2 linked regions of the Notamacropus eugenii genome follow. The main gene of each other region encodes a partner of the protein of the gene in region 2 in a complex. Links are inferred from orthologs where the notes say so. Each region holds a gene or a part of one and is shown on either strand. Other genes may lie near its edges.

Region 1 (15,781 bases), on a different chromosome or scaffold from region 2:
CCTCTGTCTACCTTAACTTACTGGAGAAAGAAATGGCTAACCATTCCAGTCTCTTTGCTAAGAAAACACAGACAGTATTAGCATGCCATGGTCACAAGGTCTGACCTACAGTTGGACTTGTCTAAATGACTGAACAACAATGTACCAGCACTGCAATAAGTGGGTTTGCATATGTGTGTTTACAAACATCATCTCCATGCTGCAGCTGTGGAAACTAAGGCAAACAGACTAGCCTGAGGTCACACGGATGACCAGTGTCTAAGGCCAAGTCTTCCGGACTTCAGGCTCAGAGTTCCATCCACAATGCCACCAGCTTCCTGTAGTGGGAGAATAAGGGTGGGGGGGGGATGGAGGAAATCATTAAGTAGAGAATAAGCAGAAACTAACTACAGAAGGTTTGGAGGGTACTAACTACTGGGCCAAAGTCTCACTGCCAAGGCATACACTATTCATGACCACAGGGACCCTAGCCAGAGTCTAGGTTTTCACCAGTACACAAGCGTGTACCCATGTATGGGGGAGGGATGAGTGAAAGAGGGTGGCCACAAGTAGGTTTGTCCCACTGAGATTTAAGTCGTCCCCCCTGCCCCGAATTCAGAATTTGTAAATCAACCAAATCCTTCAGCTTGGGGACTTTCATGTTATTGTTCTGAGAGGACTGGCCTCAAGCTGGGAAAATTCACCAGGAGACCTATCTATCATCTTTCAGCCCTGGAGGCCAACACTCATCCATAATGAAACAGTGACCCAGGGAGCAGGATTCTGGAGGGAGGTCTCTCTGTCCAGGGTGCTCATGATACTTGTCGGGCCTGAGTTTGCCTGTGGGGAGGAGCTGGACCAAGAGGCTGCCATGGGGGTGCACAGTGCAAGGGCACGAAGTGGTCGACTGAGAAAGGCCCCCAAGAGACTGTGGCTAGTTGTCAAAGGCCCGAGGTACTGAGTGAGAAGAGAGAAAAAAACAGCAGGTGCCTGTTACGAGCAAGAAAACTTGGCTAGGCTGCTCTTTGAATAGGCGGCCTTGTATGCACACAGACTCCTGCCTGCAAAAAAGGGATGTTCCTGTGAAGGGTGTACAGGCCTCCCAGGACACAACAAACAAAAATCAAAATATTTGACCAGAAGGGCAGTGCAGTTCATAGAACTGGCTATTTAGGGCTGAAATGGGGCCTTAGAGACCACTGGGTCCAAACTCCTGGACCCCTCCCCCCCCTTACAGAAGAGGAAGCAGAAAGGCCATACAGCTAGTAAGTAGCTGAAGTGGGATTTGAGCCCAGCTTTTTCTGACTCCAAATCCCAAACTCACAATCTGAGAGTCCATAGGATTTAAAGCCTAGCAGGGCTAGGAAGTGGCCCTGACCTCATTGGCTGTCCCAAAATGATAGGGATCCCTGACCATAGTCCTCAGGAGAGGTCACCAGGTAAATTCCCTAAATCCTATTTGGATTCTAATGACCAGCCATTGCATTGATGCATCTAGGGACCATTTTCCTCCACACTGCCTCTCCAGCTGGGTCACTAGATCTCTCCGTCACAAAAAAGGCATTAGCTAACATTCAGCCTTATACTATCCTTCACTGAAATAATTCTGTGAGTGAGGTCAAATGAGGAAGAACTTAAGGTTCACAGCAGGGGCTTGACTGGCTTCGGTCATCCAGAAAGCTCTAGGTCGGGGTTCTGAGCCCAATCCAAAGCTCCTTTGGGCAGGAAGCTCCACATGGCGGTTTTTATCAAGAAAGGAGAGGAATGTCTACTGAGCCCTTTGTAAATCTAATGAGCATTTATTTCCTTTGTGGTCCTTGTACAGACACATTCACCACAGAAAAATCTTCTACCATTAAATCAACATACCTGCAACCTGATCATCTTGGCAGAGGAGTCTCCCACATTCAACTGTAGAGCTTGCTTTCACAACAAGGGATGACCTATGAGGTTACCCCCCCAACCTCCCTCATAGTCACCTCCTCTCCCCTCCCCCAGAGTCTGGGAACTTCCTTGAATCTTCCCACTAAATCTGGCAGTCTCAGGAGGTCCATAGGTTTTTCATTACCACTATGCTCAAATCTCTGTTATACTTCCCACCCTTGATCCTATCAAAATCCCATTCTCCAGGCTACTGGCCACTCCCATCAAGATTCCTCCCTAGATTTGATCTTTATTCACCCTAAGGTACTGGTCATTCCCATCAAGACCTTTAGACACCCCAGGCTACTGACCACTACCATTAGGACCAGCCTCCATGAAGGTGCTCAGATTCAATCCAATTCAGACTCTGTCTAGCTGAGATTCTATCTGTCCTGCTTGTTAATACAAACATTATAAATACTTAGGCTCCTAAAGAGTCAACCCAATATGGTGAATCTTTAATAAACTGTTTTATTTTGGCTGAAAGAAGGCTTGAGTCAAATTCATTCGAGCACGACCCAGTGTCAGTATTTTGGGATCCCAGGCACCCTGAACCTCAACATGGCTCCCCTATGGTGTCTCCTCCTCTCCCCTCCCTCATAGTCCAGTACCATAGATTCACCTCCTCTCTCTCCTTTATCACTTCTGCCCTCTACCTCCTGGGGCCTGGATCCTGGCAGTGCCCAGGTTTCCTTTTTGAGTATTTATTCCTATCTGCTTATTCTTGTCTGAAGGATGTCTGAGTTGGACTGGACCAGAGTCCAGTCTATGCCTGAAATGAAAACTCCGAGGGTACCCATGCTTATTAATCTAGAGAATGACTAAATTTAACACCAAATTCAGCACCAATTCTGCCTCTGCCCTCAAGGAGCTTATAGGCTAATAAAAGGGACATGACACCCACTGATGAAGGTATAAAGTGAGGTATAAAGTAACATAAAGTTTGAGGAGTGAAATGTGTCAAGTTCTGGTTAAGCCCAGGGGGTACAAAGAAAATGAAAAAAAAAACAGTTCCTGCTTAGAAGAAGCTTACAATCTAATAGGGGAAAGATAATATGCACATAACTGTAAAAACAAGATGTAATGGAGATAAGTCTCCATTCTGATGGGGAAGACACTATCAGTAAGGGGGATGGGGAAAGGCTTTGTGGAGGCTGCAGCATCTACCAAAAGGGTAGATCTTTTAAAAGATGGGGGAATTCCAGAGATGCGAGAAAGGACGGAGGACAAGGCATTTCAAGCACAGGAAACTGCAAGAACAAAGGAAGAGAGGTAAATATATGTACAGGGAACAGGTCAGCTGGGCTGGAGAGGTAGTGCCCAGAGGGAAATGAGATGAAACCGAAGTTGAAAAGTCATGTGTGACCAGAATGCAGGCCTGGAATGACAAGGCTGGGCATTTTCCTTCAGTAAAAAGAATTCCAGATCACTTGATTTTGTCAGAATTGAAGGGAAATTGATAGCTTTTTTAGGTGAGCAGAGGGAGATTTATAGGTTTTTAAAATGAAAAGATAAATCGTTTGTGATTGTGGGATTAATAAAAAAAAATAGCTTTTTAACATGTGAACTCTATTCCATGTTGTATGGCACCAGACTTTCACTTTTGTTCCCCAAAATAAGATCATGATGCCTTTGACCTCCTGCCTGTAAACTGAAGGCCTTGGGTTGGGTGACTTCTTAGGTGCCTTACAGCTCCAAGGGCATTGGATGGTGGAGCTTGGAGCACTGAATTGGGGAGTTCACAGGGACTTCAAAGGACCTGGCTTAGTTATTTCCTCCCTGTGCCTCAATTTCCTCATCTCTAAAGATGTTAAGAACCCTATGGGGTCTAAATCCCATGGTAATCCTATGCCAGACAAGGGACTTTAAACTTCCTTTGGAAGACAAGAGGGTCTGAGAAAAAGGTCTTACTAAGTGAGGGAATCTAACCAGATCTATTCATAAGGTAAGTCGGGAGCAGCAGGGAGGAGGAACTGAAGGAGGGCAAGTCTGCAGGAAGGCCTGGTAGCTATAGCAATTTTCCAGCAAGGCCTGCACAAAGGTGGTGGCAGAAGAAACAGGAAGATAGGAGGCCAGAGACGTTTCAGGGCTGACAGCCACAGGACTTGGGAAGTGATTGGCTAGAAAAGGAAACAGCACTCAAGGTGAAAGTTCCACTGGGCTTCCTCTGACTCAGTAGCCCAGCCTACTGAATATCCAGGCCTGGAAAGGCCCCAACTTTCAGGGTCTTTCTCTAACACTCCTAGAATCTCAGATGTAAGTATCCTTCTTTGTTAGATCGACTCCCCAACCACATTTTGTCTTTCCTCCACCTACACTTGAGACTAATGAGATAGTAATATACTCCTAAAAGAATGTCTTTGGGAGTTTATTCAAATTTTCATGAAAGGTAAGGTCACTGAGGTATGTTCTAGGGATCCCCACCTTCTGAAATGGGAAAGTAAGAAAAAATCCTCTCTATACCAAGAAAAAGAAATTCACCAAATAACATTTATTATGTACCGACATGCCAGGCACTGCACTAAAAAACCCCACAACACATATGAAGCCACCCAAAATGACCTCCTTCCCCCCCCCCCCCCCCCAGGAAATACTAAACTAAGAATAAGAACAACAAAAGCTTATCAGCTGCTTTCTTACTGATGTCTTTCTTACAGTTTCCAAAAGATTTCTTTATAATCTCATTTCTGGATTTTCTTAACTGAAAATACCAAATTGGGGTCTCCTGGTTTTCTGCTATGCATTTTTTATTGTAAAGCAAAGAGCTTTACAAATCTCTTTTTAAAAAAGGTCCCTTCTGATCCTGAGGCTTTTTTTTTTTAAAAGCCCTTAGCCCACAGGGCACATAGTAAGTATTTAAATGTTTGTTCCTTTGTACTTCTCTCAAGTAACTTTTAAGTTATTTTCCTTTAAAAAGTTCTTACAAATGAAAAATATATTTCTCCTGAACTTCAATTTGTAACCATCTGCTAGATTAAGGGAGGACGACATAAGCAGTACACCTCACAGCCATTATTATTTTCCTCAGGGATATTATCTGAAAGCTATAATCAAAGTGTAATTGTAAATTCACTTGGGACTTTCCTTCTCAAAAGTCTAGTTGGGGGCAGGAGGCACTAACGCTCCTCTGAAGACAGGAAAGGTGGTCTCCTGTAGTATCACATTTTCTAATACAATACAAATACTTTGGCTTGTTTCTAGCCTTATCATTAAGAAAAATTCAATTTCAACAAGTATTTATTGAGTCCTGATGGTGGTGTTTAAAGAGACTGTCCCTATTCTCCAAGTTGCTTAGAATAAATTCTCCTTGGAGAGACAGGCCCCAGACAGGAAAAATCATGGCCCTATTTGGTCCTGCATTTCCAGCTTCTGAAGTTTGTTCACTTGAAATGTAGATGGAAGTGTTTAGGGAAACAAAGAAAATGGAAATTAACCAAAGGAACCCAAAGGCTGCCACAGGGAGGACAGCCAGGTTGTAGTGGGTGTCTTTTGCTTGACCACAGGTCAGTGAAGAGGGCACAAAGGCTCTGGGCAAGTTTATTTTTGTTAAGAAAATCCCAGGACCTAAATGCAGTGTTCATGTTCTAAGTTACCTGGATGAGTGCAGAAATGTGACTGTTACATTTGGGTCGGAATGACAGTAGCTTACAGGAGAGCTCCATTCTCTATACAGAAGTGCTCATTTTAGTTGACATCATTAGTTCAGTATTTTAAAACCGGGAGAAAACAGACACCTGAAAGGGGTCTCGGGAGTGTTTTTGAACTCCAGGGCCTTCCCAACAGCCACTGGGCCTACCCCATAAAGAATTTACATAGTTTTGAATTTAGAGGGTTAACAGCAAGCTTTATATACCTTTGGTAAAAAATCTTGCAATTATCTCCTTGCTCCTTTTGACTTTTTGATCTTAGCTTTTGCTTCTGATGATAATTACCCCTTAATTAGCACCACCACTGTATCATCTAAGTAATTATAGTAAGTGGAGCCTGTACCCCAACAAGTAGTCTTCAAAGAAAATTATAAAATAAGGTCCCACATTGACTTTTTAGAGCAAAACTGGCTCAGATAAAACACTCCTGCAGAGCTATACCCTGAGGAATAGTTTGTATCTAACTTCTATTCAGGACATGCAATAGAGTTGGCTTTTAAAAAGGAAAAATAAAAAAGATACTGTACCCAGAAGTTTAAGGGTACAGGTCAAAAGTTCAGTTACAAGTTATCTATACTTACAATAATGCATCTGTGGTACTTGAATCATTCAACTGCTAAGTAGCATCAATGCCTTGAATAGGAACAGTTTTCTATGGACTCATAATATACTGGCTACATATTGTTTAAACTATTTCTTATGATTTTAGAAGAAAGTCACTTTAAGTACTTCATAAACATAGTCTATTTATAGCTTTAGGCATATGAATGGAAGGACTTAAGGAAAAATGGTAACTAATACCTTATTAATTTCCCAAGTAATTACCTAAAGCTCCATTAAAGCTCCCTCTTGCCCAAGAATAAGGTGACATATAGATGCAGAAGTCATGAATGTGGTTTTATTTTGGTATCTTTATTAAACTTTATGTGGGAAGAGAAATGATATAGTGATAATTAAAAAAAAAACCCATTACATTGTTAAAGTTGTTAGACGGAAAACGCAATCTCATATCATCCATCTCAATTCCCTTATGTCTCAAATGAGCAAACTGAGGCCCAGATCACTAAAACATGTAACTCAAGGTCACCCAGATAGCTACAGGCGAAGGCGGAATTAGAAACCAGGTCTCCTTATGCCCAGATGAGTGCAATTCCACAGTAAAGTACAAGTGGGTCAAATAAATTTAGTTTTCCATTGATGAGGTTTTTGAAGGTTTATACACAAAAAAAGTATCGAGCAAATAATCAATGTGTTTTCACAACGAGTTCCTAAGCATAGAGAATTGGGGGGGGGGAGAGGGGGCAGGAGGGAGAGGGAGAGGGGGGAAGAGAGAGAGAGAGAGGGAGAGGGAGAGGGAGAGGGAGAGACAGAGAGACAGAGACAGAGACAGAGAGAGAGAGAGAGAGAGAGAGAGAGAGAGAGAGAGAGAGAGAGAGAGAAAGAATAGAAAAGAAAACAGATCCAGTTACCTGATCCCCTACGGATCGGTGACATCAGTAGCTGGAAGCTGTCAATTTCCAGAATGACTCACTGGGAGCACTGAGAATTTTCTGATCCTTTAAAATGAAAAGGAAAAGGAAAAAGGTTCTTGGTTGCTTTCTTCCATATAGACTATTCGTAAATGTTTTCGTGCTATCTTCACCAGGCTGCATTTTGTGGCTCATTACGAGGGTCAAGTCAAAAGAGAGGCAGGGAGAGAGGGGCACAAACAGCAGAGACGCCGGGGGGGCGCGGTGGGTAGCCCCCAAGCTCGCTCCAGCACCATGGGCTCCACGAGCCTCTTTGGTAGCTCGGAAGAACCCGGACTGAATGTGCCAGCAGGTGGGCACATTTTGTTCCCCTACCTGACCGAGACCCGGGCCTGAAAGCCGGTGCATCCCAGTCGGAGTTCGCGGGCGCCGCCGGGTCCCCCGGCTGCGGCAGGTCCCTGCAGGGCGAGCCACCGACACCCAGGGCGTCCGCCACGGTCCCAGCCTCTGCACTCCCTCCCCCGGCCGGGAGCTTCCGAGGGCGCTGGGCCCACCCCCGTCCCCGCCTGGCCTCAACCGAGTCCCGGCCCTTCCTCCTACTCACTGCTTCCGAACACGGTGGCTCACCCCCGCCCCCGCCCAGGGAGTGTGGCCGGGAACTACACTTCCCGTCGGCCCTCGCGGCCGAGACCATGGCGGCCCCCGCGCGTGCGGCGCCACGCGCCTGCGCGACGGTTTGTCCGACCGGCGCTGCGATTGGCTGCGGCGGCCGGGGCCGCGCGGGGCCTGTGGGAAGCGCCGTGACGGAGCTGGCGGCTGGGGGAGGAAGGGGGGCGGCCAGCCGGGGAGCGCAAATGGCGTTGAGATGGTTCAGGGCCCTGCTCAAACTCCAGCCCTGACCACTTACCGGGCTAGGAGGCGGCGCAGGCGGGGGCGACGGCGGCGGCGACGGCGGCCCAGCGCGAGGAGCTAGTCATCGCCGGCGACGCGGACGGGGCGGCCTAGGCCCGGGCCGGCGGCGGCGGCAGCGGGGGAAGTTGCGGGGCAGCCGCCGCCGGCGCTCCCCCCCTTCCCCCTCTCCCGCTCCTCCCTTCCCTGCGGGCTCCTTTTGGCCCGGAGCAGACGCCGGCGGCGGCCGGGGCAGCGGCGGCGGCACTCTTCTTCTTCCCCTCCCCCCCCCCGGCCCCCTCTTCCTCGCGCGTCAACCGTCTCCCATCTCGAGCGCGCCAACCCTCCGGCCCCCCCTTCTAACCCCCCCTCGTCCCGCGCGCGCGGGGCCCCAGCGGCCGCCCGGCTTGCGCCGCCCGGGGGCCGCCGGGAAGGTGAGGCGGCGGCGGCGGCCGGAGCTCGGAGTCTCCACCCCGCTCGCTCGGCGCCCAGGGTAAGTGAGGTCCCGTGGCGGCCGCTAGGCCCCGCCCGAGACGGGGACCCGGGAGGGGGCTCGGGGCGCCCGGTGCGACGCGACCCGGAGGAAGTTGGGGGAACGGGCGGGCGAAGAGAAGTGTCTGGATTCTCGCCCGCCCTCCCCCCCACTCCCGGCCCTTTCCGAGAGGCCGCCAAGTCTGGGGCGCCTCCCTCCCTCCCCCCCCCCCCCCCCCAGCGCCTCTCGGTCAAGTGCACGGCGGCCGCCGGCAGCGCACCCGCTTCTGCCCCCGAGAACGGAGGGAGGGGGCACTGTTCTTCGGGCGCCGCCTCGGGGAGGGGACGATGGGAGAGAAGTGTGGAGGCCGGGACCCCCGGAGAAACCTGGGGGGGGCGGACGGGGCGGAGTGGGTATGGGAGGAAGAGCCCCCAGGCGCCGGGGTCACTGAGTGCCCCTTTCTCTCTGGCCCGGACAGGTTGTTGGGAGGAGCTGCCAATGTGTCTGAAGGCCCGAGTGAAAGGTTGAGACCCGCGCGCCTATGCACATGTACGTGAGATGGTGACTGGGAGTTGTCCGCCCACCCTCGGGGTGTCGGGGCGGCCCCGCAGCCTTCGGCGAGCTCTTCCAGCTTAGACCTGAAAAGGCTCCACTCGAGATGAGATTGTCCACGGGGTTCCTGCTTTTGGCAAACTCTCAGGTGTTAACTTTTTAGGTCATGGAGTAGGAAGGGACCTGAGAGGTTTAGTCCAATCCCCTCTTTTGAAAGAGGTGAAACTGAGACCCGCCGAGGTCAGCTGACTTGCTTAAAGCCACAGGAGTAGAAGTAGAAGATTCAAAGCCAAATCCAAGGAATTTCCAGTCCAACAGTCTTCCCCAGTGTGCCATGTTGAGAAATATCCCAAGTATCTACGTATCCTGCACTGAAGAAGTGCACAGTTTTATTTCCATTTTTCTATAGAAATGGCCAAGTTCTCTTGTTTATAGACAAATTGCTTAAATAAAACATTTTGGTTTTATAACGCCTAAGAAAGAAAAACACAAAATTTACCAATAAACTCTATAGCGCAAGGCGATACAGATATCTCCTGTTTCTACTCCCAAAGGTTATAGTAAACGTTAGGAATTTATCATTGGGTTTTATATCTCCTACGGAAAAAATTCCTGCTGAATACTCGAAAAGATCAGTTTGTCAGTGATTCCTAGTACATCCTAGGAAAAAAAAATTTGTGGAGTTCAGTGAAACATGGGGCAAATTCTGATACAAAAAACCATTGTTGTGATATTTCAAAATTAGGGAAAGCTTTTTGCGTGTAGCTTATAGCCCATTTCTTTCAAGCTTATTAATTACAGTACAGTGAAACTATGCCCCTCTAAGAGTCGATTATAATTATTGTTATATTAAAATTTCAGTGATTTCAGTAATGTGAATTTAAAAAAGTTTTCATCACAGTTAAGTGGAAGGGGATTATTAGTGAAAGAATACATGCATGTCATGTACAATATGAAAGAAAGATGAAGTCTTCTCTCCCCCCCTTTTGCTTTGTATATTTTCACCTTGGGTACACAGTGTTCCTCTCTGGTCCTTTCCTCTCTTCTCCCTCCTTCCCCCCAATTGAATGTAAGCTCCTTATGAGTAGAAACCTCTCCTAGTATTCCTTAGACTAGTTGACACATATATTGTTGCGTAGTATTAATCTTTTAGTTAATGTAATCTTATCTTTTTCTGGAGACTTTGCATAAAGATAGAGGTTTCTCCAAACATGTCTTTTCTTCTCTGTTGAGTACATATTTGTCTACTATAAATAAACCTGAATGAATCTGAATCCATGAAGTTTACAGATAAAAAAGTAAAAAGAAAATAAAGTTGTACATTTATAATATGGACCATGGAACTAATGTTAAGGAACTTGACTTGCGCTAGTTTATCAAATACAAAAGCAGTATCTTCAGTCAAACTAAGTTAACATGAGATCCAACATTTTTGAAATTAGCATAGAAGTGTACGTTAGATTCAGTGTGGTACCATATTTTCTTTTTTTGGTCTAAAAAGCAAAAGCTTAGGAATCTATAAATATAGTATGTATGACCTAACATTAACATGTCTGAAAGGTAAATACTACTGAATTACATTTTATTTATGCTTTTCTGTTTTGAAAAGATGAGTGTCTAAAGTTTAAGCTTTTTAATTATTACACTTAAGTAATGTATAAATGAGTACTGTACATTGACTGTTGGTTCAGTTTGGAGCTTTAATGAATTCTGTTATCGTAGGTGGTAAGGTAGTCAGTCATACTTGTTTGGCAACTTAATTTTACATGTGGTGTTTAAATTTTTGGTTACAATATTGGTTATGTTTTCTTGATTTTTCCACAGAGAATATGAAACAGGTGTCAAAATGACATCCAGATTTGGGAAAACATATAGCAGGAAAGGGGGAAATGGCAGCTCTAAATTTGATGAAGTATTTTCCAACAAACGGACCACCCTTAGTACAAAGTGGGGAGAGACTACCTTTATGGCCAAATTAGGCCAAAAGAGGCCTAATTTAAATCCAGATATCCCAGAAATTCCTAAGAAGCCTAAAGTGGAAGATGAAAATTCAGAAGATCCTTTTGGATTTGATAGTGATGAAGAATCTTTACCAGTTTCTTCAAAGAATGTGGCCCAGGCTAAGAGTTCCTCCCAGTTGGAGCCTGGTGAAGCTGCTCATCTGGGTGACTTCACCTCTGTACTTGAAGCTAACAGCTGTATTAGTCAACCAATCACGGAAGACATTATTGTGTCGAGCAAGTGTTTACCTTGTGAGAGTACTTTCCTTGGTTTAAAAGAAAAGAGCACAAACCGAACCTTAGAAGACGGTGAAAACAAAAGTAGTGCAAAACTAATAACTAAAGGTGAGTCTTTATTTCATACTTGGAAGCGTTGGTTATAATTGTCATAGACAGCTCCTTCTAAGTATGCATGCCCTTTACTTTTATTTAATGTAGAATATTGACCTGCTTTAGCCAAAACGTTTGTTTGACTTTGAAAAATGGGGGATAGGTAATAAGACCGCAATAACTGTCAATTTTGTAAATAAATTTCAGAATTTTGAGGAAAACAGTTGCCTTTGAAAAAAGTTTTATTTTTGTAAAATGGATAATCCTTTGCTATGGAACAGCATTTTGTGTGTGCTCCAGATGGCTACCTTTTGGGATATCTGTAAATCAGATAATGTGGACTAGGTTATAATATTTATAAAATACCTTTTTTGTCAAACCTAGTATTTGGTGGGGTTACATGGTTTGGTAGTGACAATAACATGAATTTTAAATTGTGGAATTAGCCCAAGTTTAAAATGTTTAAATAAGCTACAGTTTTGGCTCCAGAAAACAAGTATTAGTCATAATTAATATTTTTGTAGTTTTCTTGAGCATAACTAATTAGTATTTTACTCTGTTTCTTGGTGAGATTTGATTTGGGGCTGAGATTAATAGTTAAGACAGTCAGTGCCCAGGTTATGAAAGAGTATATTCCCAAAGTTCATTTTCAGGTTGGTTATTTTGAAACTTGAAAGATATTTCCTCCCAGGATCAGTGTTATTATCAGTGGCAGTTTGGTTCCTAGATTAACCAGTAAATAGAATTTTATAGGTGGAAAGGACCTAAAGGTTCATCTCATCAACCCTACTGCCCCTACCTTTTGCCCTCTTCTGGAGAGGAAACAAGTACAGAGAGGTTTGTGATTCACAGTTAAATATTCTTGAGTTAACCCATAATGTAGCTGAAATAGTACTAATAGTTACCCCGAGCCTTGTGTGGGGGAGTAAAATACTGAAGACTGGGTGCAGGGTGCAGGTTGCAGTGGTTTGGCAACTCCCATAGTGGCTTAAGGAGAGAATGAGATTATAGCAAGGAGACGAGGAGAGGGCTCCGTTGACTCCCACGTTGTGGAGGTGGGAAGAGAAAGATGCAAGAAGGGTGTTCATTAAGCCACCAACTGTGGGCAGAGCTGTGTTATGTGCCAGAGGAGATGCAGAATTTGGGAGAGGGATATGTATGACATGTACACAGATGTATAATAAAAAGTGCATAAGGGATGTGTAAACAAAGTGCCCTTTGAGGTCTGATCATCAATAATGGTTAGGTTTTCAGGCCAATCTAATTAATTTAGGAAACTTGAAGTCCTTGCCTACAAACATACCCAGGTCTCACACTTAACCTTTTTGACCTGGCTATCCCCTAGGCTTTCATCCTTTCTTCTCCTGTTTGATGCCAGTCTCCTAAAAGGAATGATCTATGTGTGCTGCCTCTACTTCCCTTGCCTTCTAACTCAGACTTTTACAGGTTACTTTTCCTGAGGTTTTCTAGGATCTCTTTGAGTTGGCAGAATATGTTGGTCTTTTCTTTATCTGAATTCCCCTTGACTTGGGCAGCTTTTGCTCCAGTTGACTTTGAATCTTCTCCCTCCTTGATCCATCTTGGCATTTGAGAGACAGTTTTTTTCTACCTCCTTTGTTGGATAGGCCCTAAGAGTGAATATCTTCCTTTTTTCCCCAGGGTTTTCTTCTGGGCTTTTTTCTTCTACATGCTCTTCCTTGGTGATCTGATCTTTTATGTGTTCAGTTACCATGTCCAAATGGTTGTTCCCAAACATGGACATCCAGCCGAATTTCCGAAACTCTAGTCCTACATGTCCAGCTGACTCCTAGACATCTCCATTTGGGTGGCCATTTGACAGTTTAAAGGCACCTTGTCCAAAATAGTTCATTAACTTATCCCCCTTTTCCCCTAACACTCCTGATCAAACTTCCCTAGACCTCTTTAGGGCGCTACTACTCTCTCTTCTCAATAACCCAGGTTTGAAATCTCTGCTATCTTTTGCTGTTACCACTCCCTCACTTTCTGTATTCACCTAGTTGCCAAGTCTCTTTCTTATTCTGTCTCAGTCCTGTCTTAATCTCTTATCTGTCTGGTTTACTTCTAGTCTATCTTCTCTGAAATCATCCTCCATACGCAAAATAATTGTCACTTCCCTACTCGGAAACCTTCTGTGATTGCTGACTTTATCTCCAGGATAAACTATCAAACTGCTCAGCCTGACTTTGAAAACATTACCGGGTCTGTCCTCCATTTCATCCAGTCTGTGTTATGTTTGTTCCCTGAACATTTTGTCCCCTGTCTCTGTGCCTTTGAACAAGCTGTGTTTTCTATGTCTATCATTTCTGAGCTTCAGTGCTGGAGTGCCTTCCTTCTCTGAGGTGTTAGTGTTGTCTCCAATCTATAATTAGCTTGTACTTACATTGTTATCCGTCGGTAGAACATAAGCTTCATGTGGGCAGAGGTTCTTTCTTTTTGTCTTATTTGCAGTGGCTTGTATAGAGTAGAAGCTTAATTATCCCATTTATCTAATTGAGGAATTTTTTCAACTTAGTTGATTGATGAACTAACAACAAGAGGGTCAGAACCTTTGAGAACTACAGGTAATTTCTATGTCATGAGGATTCATCAGAATAGGACTTCAGGGCATTAGAAATTAGTTGCAGTGAGTTATATTTTCCAGGAACTGCATGGGCAGTAACAAGTTCTTTGAATTGCAGGGCAATTATAACATTATTCTATAGGGTTTTCTTCATTCAGACCAATCAAATCATTGGAAAAGGCTCATTCAGACTTATTATTAGTGACTACTGCCCCTGCTGGGAAAGTAGTTAAGTGAATTCAAATTCACTCCTTTGTAAAGGAGTGTATGGTTAGGAACTTGAGGTCAGATCAGTCAGTCAATAAGCTTTTATTATGTGCCAGTCTCTGTCAGGTATTTCAGGTTCCAGACCTTTGTATATGCACAAAGGAGAGGAGGTAGCATATCATTAACATTTATTGAGGAATTGGGCAAATACATAGATAGGAGTTAATTTTTAGACTGAATTTAAAGTGTTTTAGATATTTATTTAATAGTAATTAATTGGATTAACATGAAAAATTCCACTCTCTTCTCTTCCCCTTCTCCCATTTTACTCATAAGAAAACAAAGTTCAGTGACTTGCCCAAGGTTATTCGGTCTGTGAGTCTCTCCTCCCCTGCTGCTGTCTTCTCCCACTCTCCTCAAAGGAAAGAACTCTTGATTCTTTGTCCAATGATCTTTATATTCATTAGCTGCCTGCCTTTTCTTTCAGCTTGGCCAAATTTAAAGTAGACCAAGAAATCAAGACTATACATTATCAGGAAGCACAGGATTTTTCCATCGAACACATTTTGCCAAAAGCAGTAACAAAAAATTATTTTATTAGCATTTTTACGTTGCTAAACTAAATTGATAATTTGTTATTTAAACTGTTTCACAGTAAGTAAACAGTTTGTCCTGCTGCCAGGTAAGAGTCAAAATTAACTTGAATAAGGGACTAATAATGCATTTGTTCTAGATCTGTTAAAGTCTTAAATAATTTTAATGAAAATATCATTTAACAAGTTTTTTTTTAAAGTCAGCTTTAATAATATTGTTTCTGTTTTGTTTGACAATGAAATGAAAGTAATTTAAAGTATAAATGTAACAGTTTAAAAGGCAAATAATATGAATAGATTCACCCTGCTGTAAACTAGATAATTTTTTTCTTGTGAAAGATTTTCTGAAGTAAAGAAAATAAACGTAGAGTTTATATGTGGAGTACGTGGAGTTCTGTAATATGTAGAAGGGATCAATTAATCAACTTCTACTAAATTCCTAGAACTTGCCCAGAACTGTGGGAGATACCAAAGAACTAGCAAGCAGTTCTGTACTTCTAAGGATCTGCCTTGCCTTGCTTTACCCATAGTGTTGAATGACTGCTTGTAAAAAATCAAACTGCTTCCCCAGAAGTTAAATCTTGGTGAACTTTGAGGTGTATTTTGCTTTAAGGATAATTTTGAGAGAGTATTGATTTAAGTTTACTAATTCTTTAAAATAATACTACCACTGTACATTTATATAATGCTTTTATAGTTTTCAGTGTGCTTTTACATGTTGTCTTGTTAAACTATTGTGGAGTTATATAACCCTCTGAAATAAAATGTAGTTTGCTAGCTATCGTGTAGGGGAATTACCAAGTAGGCAGAAGGTTTTGGAAATAACTAGCCCCAGGGTTCTAATTAGAATGTTGGTATGATGGAACCTTCAGATTCCCCACTGAACCCCTGTTACTTGGAACCACAGCTGTTCCTTTCCTTTTCTCTCCTAGTATTCTCTTATCTACCTTTCTCCCCCCAGTCATCTGTTTTTTGCCTTTTTTGTAACCCGTTTTATTTTTTACACATTCCTTCATCCTTACACTTTTCATCTCATATACATTATAACTCCTAACACTAACTGAAACTTGTTGGTCTTTTGAATATGCCACCTTTTTCCAGTATTAGGTGTTCTCATAACTACAAGAGGAAGAGAAGACA
Region 2 (14,936 bases):
ATAGTAAAATGATATTTGTATAAGGAGTTAAAACAGCATTCCAACAACAGATTCCATCGCTTACAGTGTGTCTAAAGAGACTTCCCAGTATTTAGTAAGTGCCAATGGATTGCACACATAATTAAATTATTACTCTAGAATAAGAGTGAATAGTAGTTGCTTTAGCTATTGCAAATAGTAATTTATAGCCAGCTTCCCCAGAGGCTTGTTCATCATAGTGGTTTGTTTTGTATGACTCCTAAGGGAATCCAAGAAGACTTTATGAAGTCTGTATGACTGTTTAAGTCAGTCTGTGTCTCCCTACAACCCTGTACCCTCTCCCCGCTCCTCCCTCCCCACTTTGCAAACTGCCTGTACAGAGAAGTTTCACTCATTGGATTATAAGTGAGAAGTGCTTTACAATTATTATCTCATTTGATCCTCATTTGTTATGAACTAGCATGCCAAAAAGAGCATAAGCAACCAATACCTAGAAAGTCTGGATCAATAGATAATTGTAATTGATGATTAATATAATTAAATGAATAAATACTCACCTCCCTGGAAGCATCATCATCATCATCACCAATATCACTAGACTTTATACAGCACTTTAAGGTCTGCAAAGCACTTCACATGTTATCTTATTTGAGCCTCATAACAACGCTGGGAGGTAGGTGTTATTATTAATTCCATTTTACAGATGTGGAAACTGAGATAAGAAGAGGTTAAGTGACTTTCCCAGGTCACATAGCTAGTAAATGTCTGAGGCACAATCTGAACTCAGATATTCCAGGTTCCAAGTCCGATGTACTATTGGCTATACCACTTGGCTACCTTGATTTTTGATCTGTGACTCACTTAAAAAAAAAAAAGGTGATTCCTATCTTAAGCACATTTTCAAATGTGACCCACTATTTTAAAAAATGAATATTCCTAGTTTAAACAAGTAAATGCAGTTTATTTTGGAGATCCTCACCTTCCTTAACAGCCCTTCTTATCCCCTACCCCCAAATTCAGACACACTAAGAATCACTACATTTGTATAGTTTGTACAGTTATCTCTGCAATGTTAACTTATTGGAGCCTCACAACACAACCCTATGGGATAAGTACAGCCAGTATTATTATCTTCATTTTAAGCATGAAAAAACAGAGGCTGAGAAATGTTAAATGATTTGCTAATAGATACACAGCTAGTAAGGATGGGAAGTAGAATGCAAAGTCAGGTGTTCTCGACTTCCAATCTTATATGTTATCTCCTTATTCAATTGTCCATCTGTATGTGCACACTTGCATGTATATACTGTATCAGTAAACACCCCAACATACGCAGGGGGACCTGCTATCACAGATTCTTAAATCTGCATTCATAAAAGGAAAGGTAACTTTTGAGGGGTTAACAATCACTTTAATCAAGCACGTATATCTTTCCTTTAACCAAACACATATATCATTCACCTAGTTCAGGGGAGTCAGCACCCTGAACGTCAAAGAAAATACAGAGAAATCAAAGATCAACAGACATGGCTTCCTTTGCTGAATTCAACAGACAGTTGGACCCCAACTGTCTGACCATAGTTACCAGAGAGGGAAGCACGACATCTGGGTATTCAAAGCTGGGGACTCCTTAAAGTGACTTCCCAGAGTCCTCTTCTGGCACTCAAATCTTCTTACAGAAACTAAGCTTGAAAGTAAAAGCTCACCTTTTTTAGAGTATTTGTACACTTTTAAGAGCCAGAGTATTTATGCACTTTTATATACTTTTTAATACACTTTTTAGTATTTATACACTTTTTGGAGCCAGAGGGCATAACCCTCTGACTCAGAGCCTCAAGAGAAAAAACAAAAAGTACTTGGGACCCTTCTATAAAACAACTCCTCTAATCAAGCTTCCCACAATGGGCAGGTCCATTAATGGATGGGAAAGGTCTTCTTTAATCACATTATTCAATCAGAGGTACTTTTAGTAAAACAAAAACAGTAAAAGATCCTAATTTGATTGCCATCACATATACATATATGTACACATACATATATGCACATGTATACACACATTCGTATATACACAAGCAGTTTTGCGTGCACACACACATATGTGCATTGCATGTATGCAAACATAAGTGCATAGACATGTATGCACACATGCATATGTGTATATACATATAGGCACACACATACAGGGAAACACTTATAATGCATATATATGTGTATGTGTGTATATATGTATATGCATGTATATGTGTGTATATATATATATGTAAATATATACATATAGACACAGCCTCTTTTTTTTTTATCCCCAAAGTGCATAGTGCCTGGCACAGAATAATCGAGGTTAATAAATACTTGTTGGTTGACTGACTGATTGCTTTCTGCCACTAGAATACTTGGTTTTTACTAAGGTATTAGGGTTTAATATCCCCAGGAATATTTTTAAAGAACCATACAGTGAGCCCAAAGCTTAACACAAAGTAGAAAATCACCAAGGAAAGAATTTTAGGTACCCGTAGGGGAGGTATTTTTGTATGGAGGGACCTTCCTGTTATATCCTAATCATATAATGTTGGTGACTCAGTTTGGTCTCTTGCTTAGAAGAAATGGTCTACTTTCCCACTTAGTATGAATTTTAAGGGCATTCAGAAGACCCCAATGCTTCCTGTTCATTAACCTCCAAAAATTATCAACTGCTTCCTTTTGCTTACTGATTCTTGACATTCTCATTCCCTCAGACCCCTGTTCTTTACCAATGTTTTAGGGTGCAAATAAATTAATTTCACTTGATTAGATAAAAGCTACATTTTAATAAAGGTCTTTAGAAGATAACTTCAACCAGAGAAGTTTGTTTAATGTGAATAGTGGAGCTCTGGAGCTACTGGGTAGGGGGTGCATTTCTGGGGAGAGAGGAGTCTTTGGCTTACCCTGAATAACCTACAAAGATGGCTTCTTCTGAGTAGGGGTAGCCAGTCTTCCTTAGACATAAGTAAGCCAGATAACATAGTTATAATCCAGTATATGTGCAATCTTTTCTTACATGGGTTCCCTTGTTCCTCCCAGATCCTGGCCAAGATAGAATATTTTTATTCCTCTAATTTTTCTACTGTTTCTATAATGTTGCATTTATTCACAGTCTACTTTAGCTATTGCTTACATCTTTAGTTTTTTTGTGACTAATACTATTTTCATAAATATGATATAAAAAACCCCACAACAATAACAACATTCCTGGTACAAGGTTCTGTTTATTTTGTCAGCCAGGAAATAACCTATTTCCAAGTGATACCAGTTAAAATTCCAGACTTTCCAGAAATAATTTTGTTGTTAACCATCTCTAGAGATGGTTTCTTCCAAGTACTGAGGAATTTTGAGGGTCACCCAGTGTTACAGGGTTACTTGGGTGATACTTCCTAGCAGTGATACTGTAGGGGATGTTGCTATGGGGGTCTGCAGGAGGTAGGGAGGGGAGGTCAGTTTCAAGATAATCTTAGTTTTGGGGAAACAAGAGGCCAGAAGGCAGGTTTTGTACTGAGTAGATGAAATCCAAGAAGAGGTTGTCAAACATAGATCCCAGGAAGGGCCAGAAGTAACATGTTATTCTATCTATCTTAGCAATCCATTTGGCAACAAAAATTCAGCAGGCTCTGAGGGAGCAAGGAGAATCAAAAGCTTGTGACCAAAGTGAGAATCAGAAAGCTGGATGATAGCCAGATCTAAACTTGAGCAAAGAGTTCCTCTGATTTCTCAGTCACAGAGGGGATCTGGCCTAGGGTGTTTTAGGGGGAAATGCTAGGTCTACAAGCCTAATCTTCTGTATAAATGGAAGCCATATCCTTTCCCCCCTATGCTTCTACTTCAAGAAGTGTTATGTATAAAGTTCAGACAACCTGAAGATCCAGATGGGTGAGAGGTAGACATAGGTCGTTCCATATTGTAGCTGTCATGTGGCCTTTCATGGCTGGAGATAATTCTACTAACCATGTTCTCTCTGTTTTTTTTACCCTGCTCACACAAATTCTCTGATTTGACAGTGTAGACACTGTTTGTAGAAACTTATGCTATTTGTGATGTTCAGGCCATACATCTCCACTGAGTGAGTTATTTAGAGGGTTTATTTGTCCTTTTTATATGTGTTAAATGATACATTTAACAGGGTAGATCATGCTGCTTGCCCATTACTTTAGACCTAAACGCTGAACAGACCACTGAAAAGTTTGAATGTTTCAATTTTAAACAACATATCATAACTTTGCTGCTTATTATATAATCTTGGCAAATCAGTTAATTTCTCTGGGTCAATTTCTTTAATGGTTAATTGGGAGTAATAATCATTACATTATTGACCTCATGGGGTTGTTGGGAGAAGCAAATGAGATAATGTATGTAAAACTTCTTGTAAATCTTAAAGCAGAACATATATTTCAGCTATTATTTTTGTGCTGTCACTTCAGCTCTGGAATACTATTTTTCATTTCTATTCATCCATTTGATACTGTCTGTCAATGAGTTCATTGGTATTGGTGATCATTACTTGGTGATTCTGGTCATATAGTTCAATGAGATGTTGCCCCTATAACAATTCTAGGTCTCAGCACTTCATACAACATTAGACTCTACCATTTTAATGCTAGGTAGCGAGTTTAATAATTTTTTAATTTTTTTAATTATTAATTTATTTGTTCTCAGTTTTCTACAATCACTTCCATAAGTCTTAGATTTCTCCCCTGCCCACCCTGCTCCCTTCCCAAGATAGCATGCAATCTTATATGGGTTCTACACATACATTCTTATTAAACACATTTTCATATTAGTCATGTTGCATAGAAGAATTAAAATGAATGGGAGAAATCATGAGAAAAACCTAAACAAAACAAAACATAACACAAGAGAAAATATTCTACTTCATTCTGTGTTCCAATTCCATAGTTGTTTCTCTGGATGTGGATGGTGTTTTGCCTCGAGTCCTTTGGGAAAGTTTTAGGTCCTTGAATTGCTGTGAAGGGCTAAGTCTACCAGAAAAATTCCTTGCACTCAGTTTAGTGTTGCCAATGTTCCAAGATATTCAGTGTTTCTGAATTCAATTCTCTACTTTTTTAGTTGATCATTTGTTTTTTAATGGTCCTTATGGTTCTGAAAAATAAAATTTTCTCTGAGTAATAATTCTATTTTTTTTTTTTGCACAAGATTCTACTAGGGCTAAGCTCTTTTTACTTCCCTCCACCTTGACTTGCCAGAGATTTGCATTTTACTGTATATTGTGAAAACTATGAAAGGTCTTAAGATCACTTTAGGGCTTGAGGAAACATGATGTAAGTTTGAAGGACTGTGGAGTAGTCAGATCTTTTCTTCACTTGAAATAACTGTATAGCAAAGTATGTTTAATTCACATTTTGGAACTTCAGGAAGATATATTGTTCACTGAAGTCAGAGGAGATGGTAATTTATAGTTTTAGTTTCAGCACACTGTCATGACAATGTTTTGTGAAAGCGGAATGTTATGTTGTTTTATCCTACTATGATAAATTAGTTTGCATAGCAACATAACCTCATCAAGTGTTGGTATAGCCTACAAAATGTGGTAATCTGAACTTATATATTTATAATTTATATATATTATAAATATATTTATATATTTATATTATACACATTGCAATTTGACTTTTCTTATCCAATTCAACAAGCAATTATTAAATGCCTATTATGTGTGTGGAATTGTGCTGGGTGCTGGTGATACCTTTATTCTGGGAATAAAACTCTTTTGAAAGTGCACTCATACAGGAAAAAAAAATCTCATCAGCTCTGGGTTGTTGGCAGTGGCGGCTGAGGTGACAGATGAATGTATTGGTACTCAAGTAACTTTGGTAAGTCCAGAGCCTGATCACATTCTTGGGGTTCCTGCTTTCTAAGGGGGACAGCACCGCCTAGATAGGATAAGACTAAGGGAGAAATCATTCCAAGGGAAGTGAGAAAAGTCCTGGAAAGCTGGGAGGACCTCTCCTCTCTATCTGGAATCAAGAATAATGCTTCCCATACAATGATAACAGTCGTAATAGTAATAGCATTCATATGTCATTTTAAGGGATGCAAAGCACTTTACACGTATTATATCTTTTGATCCTCGCAACAACCCTGCAAGTTGAGGTACTATTTTTATCTTTGTTTTATAGTTGAGGAAACGGAGGCTTTGAGAGGTTAAGAATCTGAAGTAATAGACATAGATTTTTTTTCTGATTCCAAGTCCAGCACTGACTAGATTGCACCATCTAGTGGCCTCTCCGAGCCTGATTTCTGTGGAGAGAATTCGTGTCCCGTACTATTTCTATTGAAACAAAGTTTCTAAAAAGTGTCATCATAACGCATTCTCTTCATATGTATTATGTATAATATATATACACACGTGATATATACGCATACATACACACATACATATATGTCTGCCTATCTGTCTGTCTATCTAATCTATCTTTCTACCTACCTACCTTTCTATCATCTATCTATCTATTATCTATCTGTCTATTATCTATCTATCTATCTATCTATTATCTATCTGTCTATTATCTATCTATCTGTCTATTATCTATCTATCTGTCTATTATCTATCTATCTATCTATCTATCTATCTATCTATCTATCTATCTATCTATCTATCTATCTACCTATCTACCTTTCTATCTGTCTGTCTGTCTATCTATCTGTCTATCATGTGACATTGGCCATTACCAGAATGGAAAGGGCAGTGGGATTTACTTTTGTAAGAAGGCATAGAGAAAGTGAGGCCATAAGCAATATAAAAAAAAACAGAGAAAAGTGCGGAAGAGGAAACAGCAGTTTTGTGATAATCTCGATAAAGGCTCTTATGAAGAACCATATAACAAAGTTCGGAGTCCAATCCAATGAACATTAACGCAGCGCCCATTCTGCGTCCCTGTCCTCAAAGGGCTCTCAATCCAAAGGGGAAGGAAGATAACACAAAAGGTGGAGAGGGTATAAAGAGGACGATCACCTTGCTTATTTTTTTCTAGACTGAAATGCGCGTTGAGGACCGTGTAAAACAAACCACCACCTACAACAAAAAAAAGAAGCGAAAATACACCGTGTAGAATTGCTAATTTTGGAAGGTACTTCAGATTGGATCAAAGTTCCCGTCTAAGTGCAAAGCGAGCAGACCACGGAATACTGCCAAATCTCCCTTTCCAGAAGAAAACTCATTCTAGTTTCTTATCTTCGGCTCCCAAAACGCAGAGGTCGGCTCGCTATCTGCTTCTTTTCCTAAGAGACGCCAAAGACACCGAAGCTGCGGGTTGATTGGCAGCTGCCGTGTGGGCGGGCGCGTGCTTGGAGCGCGCACCGCGGAGCGCGCGGGCGCGTGCTTGGAGCGCGCACCCCGGAGCGCGCGGGCGCGGTTGGCCGGGGAGGCGGGTCGGGCGGTTGAGCGACACCCGGTCTGGCTGGTCTGCTGGTCGGTCGGCAGGGGGCGCTGCGCCCCCGCGCCGCGCTCCGCCTGCCCCTGGGTGCTCTCCGCCGCGGTTCGATTGGAGCTGCCGCCGGAGAACGCTTGGCGCCATTTTGAAGCGGAGAGGAGGAGGAACGGCCGGGCTAGCTGCGGAAGGGGAGGGGAGGGGGGAGGAGGAGGCGATTGGATGCGGCGGCGGCGGCGGCGGCGGCGGATCCCGGAGAGCGGCGGAGTGAGAGGAGCAGCGAGCCCGGCAGCCGGAGGTAGGAAACAATTCAATTAACGGGAGAAAGGTCTCTTCTTGCCCGCCCGGGCGCTCCATTTTCCCGCGGCCGGCGGTGTGTGTGCCTTTGGCGGGGGCTGAAGCGCCGCCCGCCCGCCCTGCAGTAGCCGCGGCCGTCCTGCCTCCGGCTCGGCTCGCCTCGGACTCGAGGGCTGAGCAGCCCCTTGGCCGGGAGGTGTCTCGTTCTCCGGGCGGGGGAGGGAGCGGGGGCCAGGACCTCCTGCACCCCCCTCGGACCCCCTGCACCGACTCCGGCGCACACACACGCGCACACGCGTGCGCGCGCCGCTGGCTTGATCCACGGCTTCTAAGAAATTAAACTTGCCGCCTTCCTCCGGGCGGGGCGGCCGCGGGGCCGGGTGACCTTGGCGGCGGGGGCCGAGGGGCAGCCCGGGGTTCCAGCCGCCCCCTTCCCGCGCCTCCCCTCCCCCCGCTCCCCGGTGGCCGCCGCCGGCCTGGGCTCGGGCTCGGGCTGTTTCGCGGACCGCAGGCGGGCGGCGCGGTTCTCCTGTTGAATCCTCTGGCGGGTTTTTTTTTTCTCCTTTCCGGGGGTGGGGTGGGAGGGGGAGGGAAGAGCCTGCGCTGCGAAAGCTGGGGGGCCGCAGCGTCCTCGCTTGGCCCCTCTCCAGGCGCCCCCGCAGGCTCCCCCTGAGCCCCACGAGCCCGGGGTTTCCCCTTTGCCCCCACGTCGTCTCAGCCTTTGCTCTGGGCGAGGAGAAAAGGATACAATGTGTCCGTTTGCTGTCTACTGTAACTTGTCAGTCACCGGAGGTAAATCTCACCGGCCGCCGGGAGGCTGTGGGGAGGGGCAGCCTGGGATCGAATGGAGGAGGACTGGGGCTCACTCTAAATTACTGCACCCTGGTGACAGTTGGGTTTGGTCTGAGCCTCAGGGAGCCTTGCAGTGTGAACCGGAATGAGCGCTGGCAGAACTGCGGAATAATCAGAGATTGTTGCACCTCCGCGGCTGGTTTTGGTCTCCCTTGTGCACACTTCAAAAAGTTTCTGGTTGCGGGGCATGCCTCGTATTTTAATTCTTCGGGACATGCATTAAACTTCTTGTTTTAAATATAGTTATTTAAGTGTATGAATTTGAGCCATGAGGTGTAAACCTGCACCGCACTGTACTGCATTACTTAACGAGATGCCGTGAGTTCAGTGCGGGTTTGAATCAGGAGAAAGGGATATCTGCATAGCACTTGAGCGTAATCCAAACCCTTAAGCAGGAGTTAACATTAGAAAATATATTTTGAAGGGAAGCCCTCTGAAAGTGCCTTTATTTTTGTCGGTTCGTTTTATTTCATTTCTACTCTTTTTCATGAAATATGTTAGTGGGCTGTGTTTTCTGCTTTGCCGTAGTGTTTATGAAATGCATGCCGAGGTCTCTGTGATGGATCTTTTCTACATTTAAGAATATTTTTGCTGTATAACATCCTATATTCTCTTCCCAAGTAAAGGTAACCCTTAAAAATCTGTTGATAGTTTATTAGAAGAGACAGAGTATAAAAATTTTTTGAATTTTGCTATTTAAATTTTGAGTGGCATTCTAAATAACGTGCTTGTTTAACAAACCTAGATGTAGGTTTGAATGGATTTTCTATCTGAACCAAGTAATCTACCAAATAAGAAAGTTAACATAGCATACAACACAAATCAGAATTAAGGTTTACATGAACACATTTTGGTCTTGGCACCCTACAGTACACATTTCACATGAGATTGACATGACTAAGGACAATAAGCCTTCCCTCAGGTATATGAGTTGTCCAAGGGCAAGTTCAACCTCTAACTTATGTTACTTTTAGTCATTTAGTCAGCGTGTTAACATGCTCAGTCTTATTTTCGTTATCAGCACAGAACTTACTTAAAATGTGTTGCTTGTGAAACAAGTAGTTAAAACTCTAAATTGTAATGGTTTGATTTCTGGATTTCAAAATTAAATTTTTTCTGAGGAATTCTATGAGTAATGAAAACATCTTAGAAACATAAGTAGTTCATTTAAAAAAATGAACTAATAAGATGCTCATTTGAACACTTAAGTATATATATGTGTGTGTGTGTGTGTGATTTCAGAAATGTTTATGTCTGCAGAAATACCAAATGTACATTTAAACTTTTTTTTTAACTTTTATACTTTTTGTTGTACTATTTCATTTCTTTGTGGATCTGAATTATGTTCTTTTTTAAAAAATAAAATTTTCTCGTCTTCAGCCTTTATTTTGTTCTTTCTCCATTGTGGTTATCTCCTTAGCTCATCCTTTTAATTCTAGTATTCAGATTCTTCTTCCTCCCCTTTTTTTTACACCCCTTTCTTCTTTTTCTCATTTTTCTTATAAGTAGAGGAAATGTTGGTGTTGAGGTTAAGGATACTTGCTGTCATGAGAAGTCATGTGATCAAGCTTGCTTGTTTAAAAATATGATTTGCCACTATGAGTTGACTCCTGGAAAAAAAAAGTAGGTTTGTGTTTTGAGATTATTCTGTAGAATTGATTTAAAATAATCCTTTTAGACTATGGAATTATCAAGCAATTTATTATGTCTGAGGAGGAAGTGATATCTTTCATTACTCAAGTTACTCTCTTGAGAACTGTGATGTGATGGAATTATGTCTAAAACTGAGAAAACAGAATTGTTCACTGCTTTCATTTGATGCAAAGGGTCTTTAGAATTTTTTGAGTTGTGATTTTTTGGGAAGGACTATCATCTGATTTGTGGAAATAGCATTGAGAAGACAATTATTTGCTTTTTTAAAAAATATGTTCCTCTTGTTAGAAAATAAGCAAATTTCAGCGATTGGTACTAGCTGTATGAATATTTATAAACATGGTATAGCTTTGTAGGATTATAAATTTTAGTGCTGCAAGAGAACTTAAATTCAACTATGTACATTCAACTCCTTTGATTTTGAAAATGAGGAAACTGATGCCTCAGGTTAAAGTACCCTCTACCAGATATAGGGTGATGGAACCTGCACTCCATGGAGTTCAGGTCTTGACTCCTTGTCCAGTGGGTACTCCCATTTAATTCTTAGTTTGTGTGGGGGAGTGAGCCAGAGCCTGAACATAGGGTTCTTTGTGTGGCAGTAAGTTATTTCTTTCTTAGGCCACAAAATCAGCCAAGAAGTAGCATTTCAAAGTAAACTACCAGATGTTCCTTTGCTTAATCTAGTTTTGACAGCTTCTTTTGAGGTTGTGTGTAGTTACCTGCTTCTGAAAATGTCTGTTTGCTTTTGTTTGGTTTTAAGCTGCTTGTTTTTTCATGGTGTAAATTTCCTTATATATGATATTAATTTTTATTTCTGAAACTTAAAATTTGGAAAATTTAATGTTATTTTAAAAATTCAAGTTTGTATACATTTTTTTCTTAATTTTCAGTCTGCTCCAGAGTCAATATCCATCATAGGGTTTCAGATATTTAGAAAAGTTTGTGTTTTATCTTGCATCCTATTGTAGGGTAGAGAGAGAGAATGAATTTCAGTATTATCACTGAGAGTGAATTTATCTTTTAATTTTCAATTAGAGGCTACCAAATAGTTTGCAGTTTCATTTGGGAGGAATGTTAAGGACCAATTCTTTGCCTAAAATATAGGCAAGTTAGTTATACAAGTCTTTTTACAAATGTTGCCCTGGTGACAGTAGGCTACTACTATATTTTTGTCTCTTGTTACCAATTTAAGATTAAGAATTAGTGTGTTTTCACTGCTGCTTTGAGATCAAGTCTCTTTAATATCATTGTCAGTGATTGATCATATTGTGTGACCAACATACTGAAGACTGAGTATATATCAGCAGAATTTAGTTAGCATTATAATGAAGTTAAACTTAAGAATTTACCTGACACATTTAATGATAAGCAACAATTGTTATGCTGCTTAATAAATGACTAATATTACTCTTACAAGTCAAATCAAGCATTTTTAGAATAATGTGGCAGGAGGGAGAGGGAAAGTGGAAAGGGAAGCTCTTTCAGCAAAACCCAGAATCTTGTAACCCACGTGAGCTCAAATAATCTAGAACTTTTTCTGTCAATGTTACTGGCCTGGGTATTTTGACAAGATCTTTTGCTCCTGAAGATTGGGAGCCAGGGACTCTTATTGCATTTTTCTTAGTGGTAGTGGGGGGTGGTTGTTCTTTCTGTGTTATTAAGGAATGATAATTAGTTAAGACAGCTTAGAGAGTAGACCAGTGATCCAGACTCTTCCTCATTGTAGAATGGGAAGAAGAAAGTACAATTTGTGGTTCTGGAGCCAGGAGGAAGTAAGTCTCTCTTGTTTCTATGACTGACTGACTTTAGGTTAATTTATCTAAAGCCAGTTTGCATAATCTGATCCCTTAGAAATGATATTTCTAATAAATACTTAAGTTTTCAGCGTTTCATATATGATGGTAGGTAGGTGGATAGAGGTCTGGGCCAGAAGTCAGGAACACCTGAATTCAAATGAGGCCACTGACAACTTACTAGTTGTGTGACCTTTGACAAATCACTTAACCTCTGTTTGTCTCAGTTTCTTCAACTGTAAAATGGGTATAATAACAGCACCCACCTCCCTGGGTTGTTGTCAAGATCTTCCCAGGTTTTTATGAAACCATGCTGTTTGTCATTTATTATAGCATAATAGTATTACATCACAATTATATACCACAACTTGTTTGGCCATTTCCCAGTTGATAGGCATCCCCTCAGTTTACAGTTCTTTGCCACCACAAAAAGAGCTGCTGTGTTTTTGGACAAATAAGTCTTTTTCCCTTTTCTTTGATCTTTTTGGGATACAGACCTAGTAGTGGTATTGTTGTGTTAAAGAGTATGCGCAGTTTTATAGCCCTTTGGCCATAGTTCCAAATTGTTCTTCAGAATGGTTAGACTAGTTCATAACTCCACCAACAGTACATTAGTGTCTCCGTTTTTTAACATCCTCGCCAACGTTTGTCATTTTCTTTTGTTATCATGGTAGCCAATCTGATAGGTGATTTCTCAGAGTGGTTTTAATTTGTATTTCTCTAATCAGTAATTTAGAGCATTTTTTCATGTGCCTGTTGGTAACTGTAAATTTCATATTTATTTTTAAAAAGTATCAAATCAAAGACAATCAGGCTGATGTGATGTAGTGAGTAGAATACTGGACTTTGCAGACGGGGAGACTTGGATTCAGATCCTATATATTACCTCTGACACTAGCTATGTGACTATGTCAAGTCACTTTTCCTCTTTGATCACTGGCACCTCCCTAAGACTTTTTGGTAAAAATTATTTTATTTGTTTTCAGGTTTCTACCATCACTTTCATATATCTTAGATTTTTTTCCCCTTCCTTCCCCATTTCCCCTTAACCTGCCAAGGCATAGGCAGTTGCTGTATGTTGGTGGACTATCTTCCCACACCAAGGAAATCACAGATCTTTGTCATATTATTGATATATTTACCAAATAATAGCATTTTGTATACTATAGGGCAGTTGTAACCCCTTTTAAGCAATTATACCTCCTTCAGCTTTTTAAAAAACTAACTTTGTGCGGCAACTAGATAGCACAGTGAGTATCAATCAGCCTTAGGGTCAGGAGGACCTGTGTTCAAATTCAGGCTCAGACATTTACTAGCTTTGTGACCTTGGGCAAGTCATCTAACCCTAATTACCACCCAACCCCACAAATACAACTGCCTTTGTGCATTTTATTGATTTGTTAAACAAATTAGTGATACTCAGTGTTGATTTCTGTAACCATCCTTTGACAATAAAAGTCAAGAGAATAAGATAATTATGCTGAAAGCATTTTGAACTCTCTTAATTTTTATGACATTGAAATCATGATGATAGAGGATTTCAAATATTAATTAACATGTAGAATCTAATGTTATTAACAAAAGTCATTATAAATATTTGCGTTTGCACTTAAGGCTTCAGACTTTCTGAACAGCATTGATAATTTACTAGAAAGGAGAAAGGCAGTATGGTATATCGTGGATAAGAATGCTGGACTTAGACCCAGGAAGACCTGGGTTCAAATCCCACCTCAGACACTTATTATGTATCTGACTCTGGGCAAGCCACTTAACCTTTCTAGGGTTCAGTTTCATCATTTGTAAAATAAGGAGGTCAGCCTTGTGCTGTTGTAAGGTCCCTTTTAGTTCAAGTCTTTGACCCTATTAGCCTATGATAAATGGGGGAAAGCTACTTGTCCATTGATCTTTGTTCTCTCTACACTTGAGAGTACTGTCAGACTTCCAGAGGCTCGGATAGAGATGGTGGATAGCTGCTGCTTAGAATTCAGGATGCTAAATTTCAGTGATGGTTTTTATCCTTAGCTGTCAGTGAAGCATACCACTATTTGTAGCAGTTTTACCTTGTTGTGTAAATAGTGGTGAAGGATGTATTAGGCAACAGTCTGCATGCCCAATCTATGTGTACTTCACATAGTCCATATGAGACGATACTTCTTCTGGTAAAGGATGTTCCAGCTATAGCTTTGAGACAAAGGCAAGGTACAAACAGTGAAGTTCTCATGATTTTGTGTGTGTGTGTGTGTGTGTGTGCGCGTGTGTGCTTGTGTGTATGTGCTTGTATTCTCCAAATACGATGGCAGAAGTGGAAGGAATATCCTCTCTGAGTTGATAGTAGCTGATTTTAGAAATTTAAATAGTAATCAGAATAATATCTTGACTATGGTTGACCTACCTAAAAAAAATAACACATCTTAGCTAAAGTAATATGTGGAAGAGTTAGAGGAAGGGATTGTTGTTGATTGGGGTATTTGAGAGAAAAACCATTTTAACATCTAGGAAGATGTTTGTAATGATTTAAGTTGCTGAGAATGCAACATAGTGCAGAGGAAAGAAACCCAATCATGGAGTCAGTGTACCTGGAACCTAGCTAGTCCCTATGTGACTTTTGACAAGTCTGATCTCTCATACTCTTTATCTGTAAAAAGGAGGGGTGATAATTGTTGTACTGGCCCTCTTACAGGACAGATGAGGGAAAAGTGTTTGGTAAACTATAAAGCTACTAAATAAATAAATAAATATATGCTGACATGACTGTATCTGTGCTGCTGCAGCCTTCAAAGTTAGTGTCAGAAAAAATTTATTGTTTATGTGAAGAGTATAATTTCTAAAGTATAGTGCAAATTGTAGTGGATGCACAAATTCATGTGAATTGTGGGTTGAATACAGCCTGTTGCTATAAATTTAAAAGCAGAGTATAATTACACCTGTTTGTGGATCCAAGGGAAGG

Evidence for each region.
Region 1: the proteins of PDS5B (region 2) and WAPL are in contact, whole or in part, in a crystal structure (PDB 5HDT), measured with the Homo sapiens proteins. The link is inferred for Notamacropus eugenii from reciprocal best matches to the Homo sapiens genes PDS5B and WAPL. Residues at the interface, in NP_055847.1 of Homo sapiens: Gln47, Phe88, Ala92, Pro93, Ala95, Trp137, Val138, Lys139, Ser140, Asn142, Ile143, Phe145, Glu146, Glu187, Gly188, Asp189; in NP_055860.1 of Homo sapiens: Lys7, Thr8, Tyr9, Ser10, Arg11.

Annotation. Positions count from the first base shown.
Region 1 is NC_092872.1:253,006,035-253,021,815, reverse strand, and holds the start of WAPL (wings apart-like protein homolog), read left to right. Parts: upstream 1-8,149; 5' UTR 8,150-8,399; intron 8,400-8,856; 5' UTR 8,857-8,919; coding exon 8,920-8,927; intron 8,928-8,957; exon of another isoform or gene 8,958-9,078; intron 9,079-10,754; coding exon 10,755-11,275; intron 11,276-15,781. UniProt on the Homo sapiens protein: Regulator of sister chromatid cohesion in mitosis which negatively regulates cohesin association with chromatin. Involved in both sister chromatid cohesion during interphase and sister-chromatid resolution during early stages of mitosis.
Region 2 is NC_092876.1:201,639,022-201,653,957, forward strand, and holds the start of PDS5B (sister chromatid cohesion protein PDS5 homolog B), read left to right. Parts: upstream 1-7,565; 5' UTR 7,566-7,692; intron 7,693-8,464; exon of another isoform or gene 8,465-8,483; intron 8,484-14,936. UniProt on the Homo sapiens protein: Regulator of sister chromatid cohesion in mitosis which may stabilize cohesin complex association with chromatin. May couple sister chromatid cohesion during mitosis to DNA replication.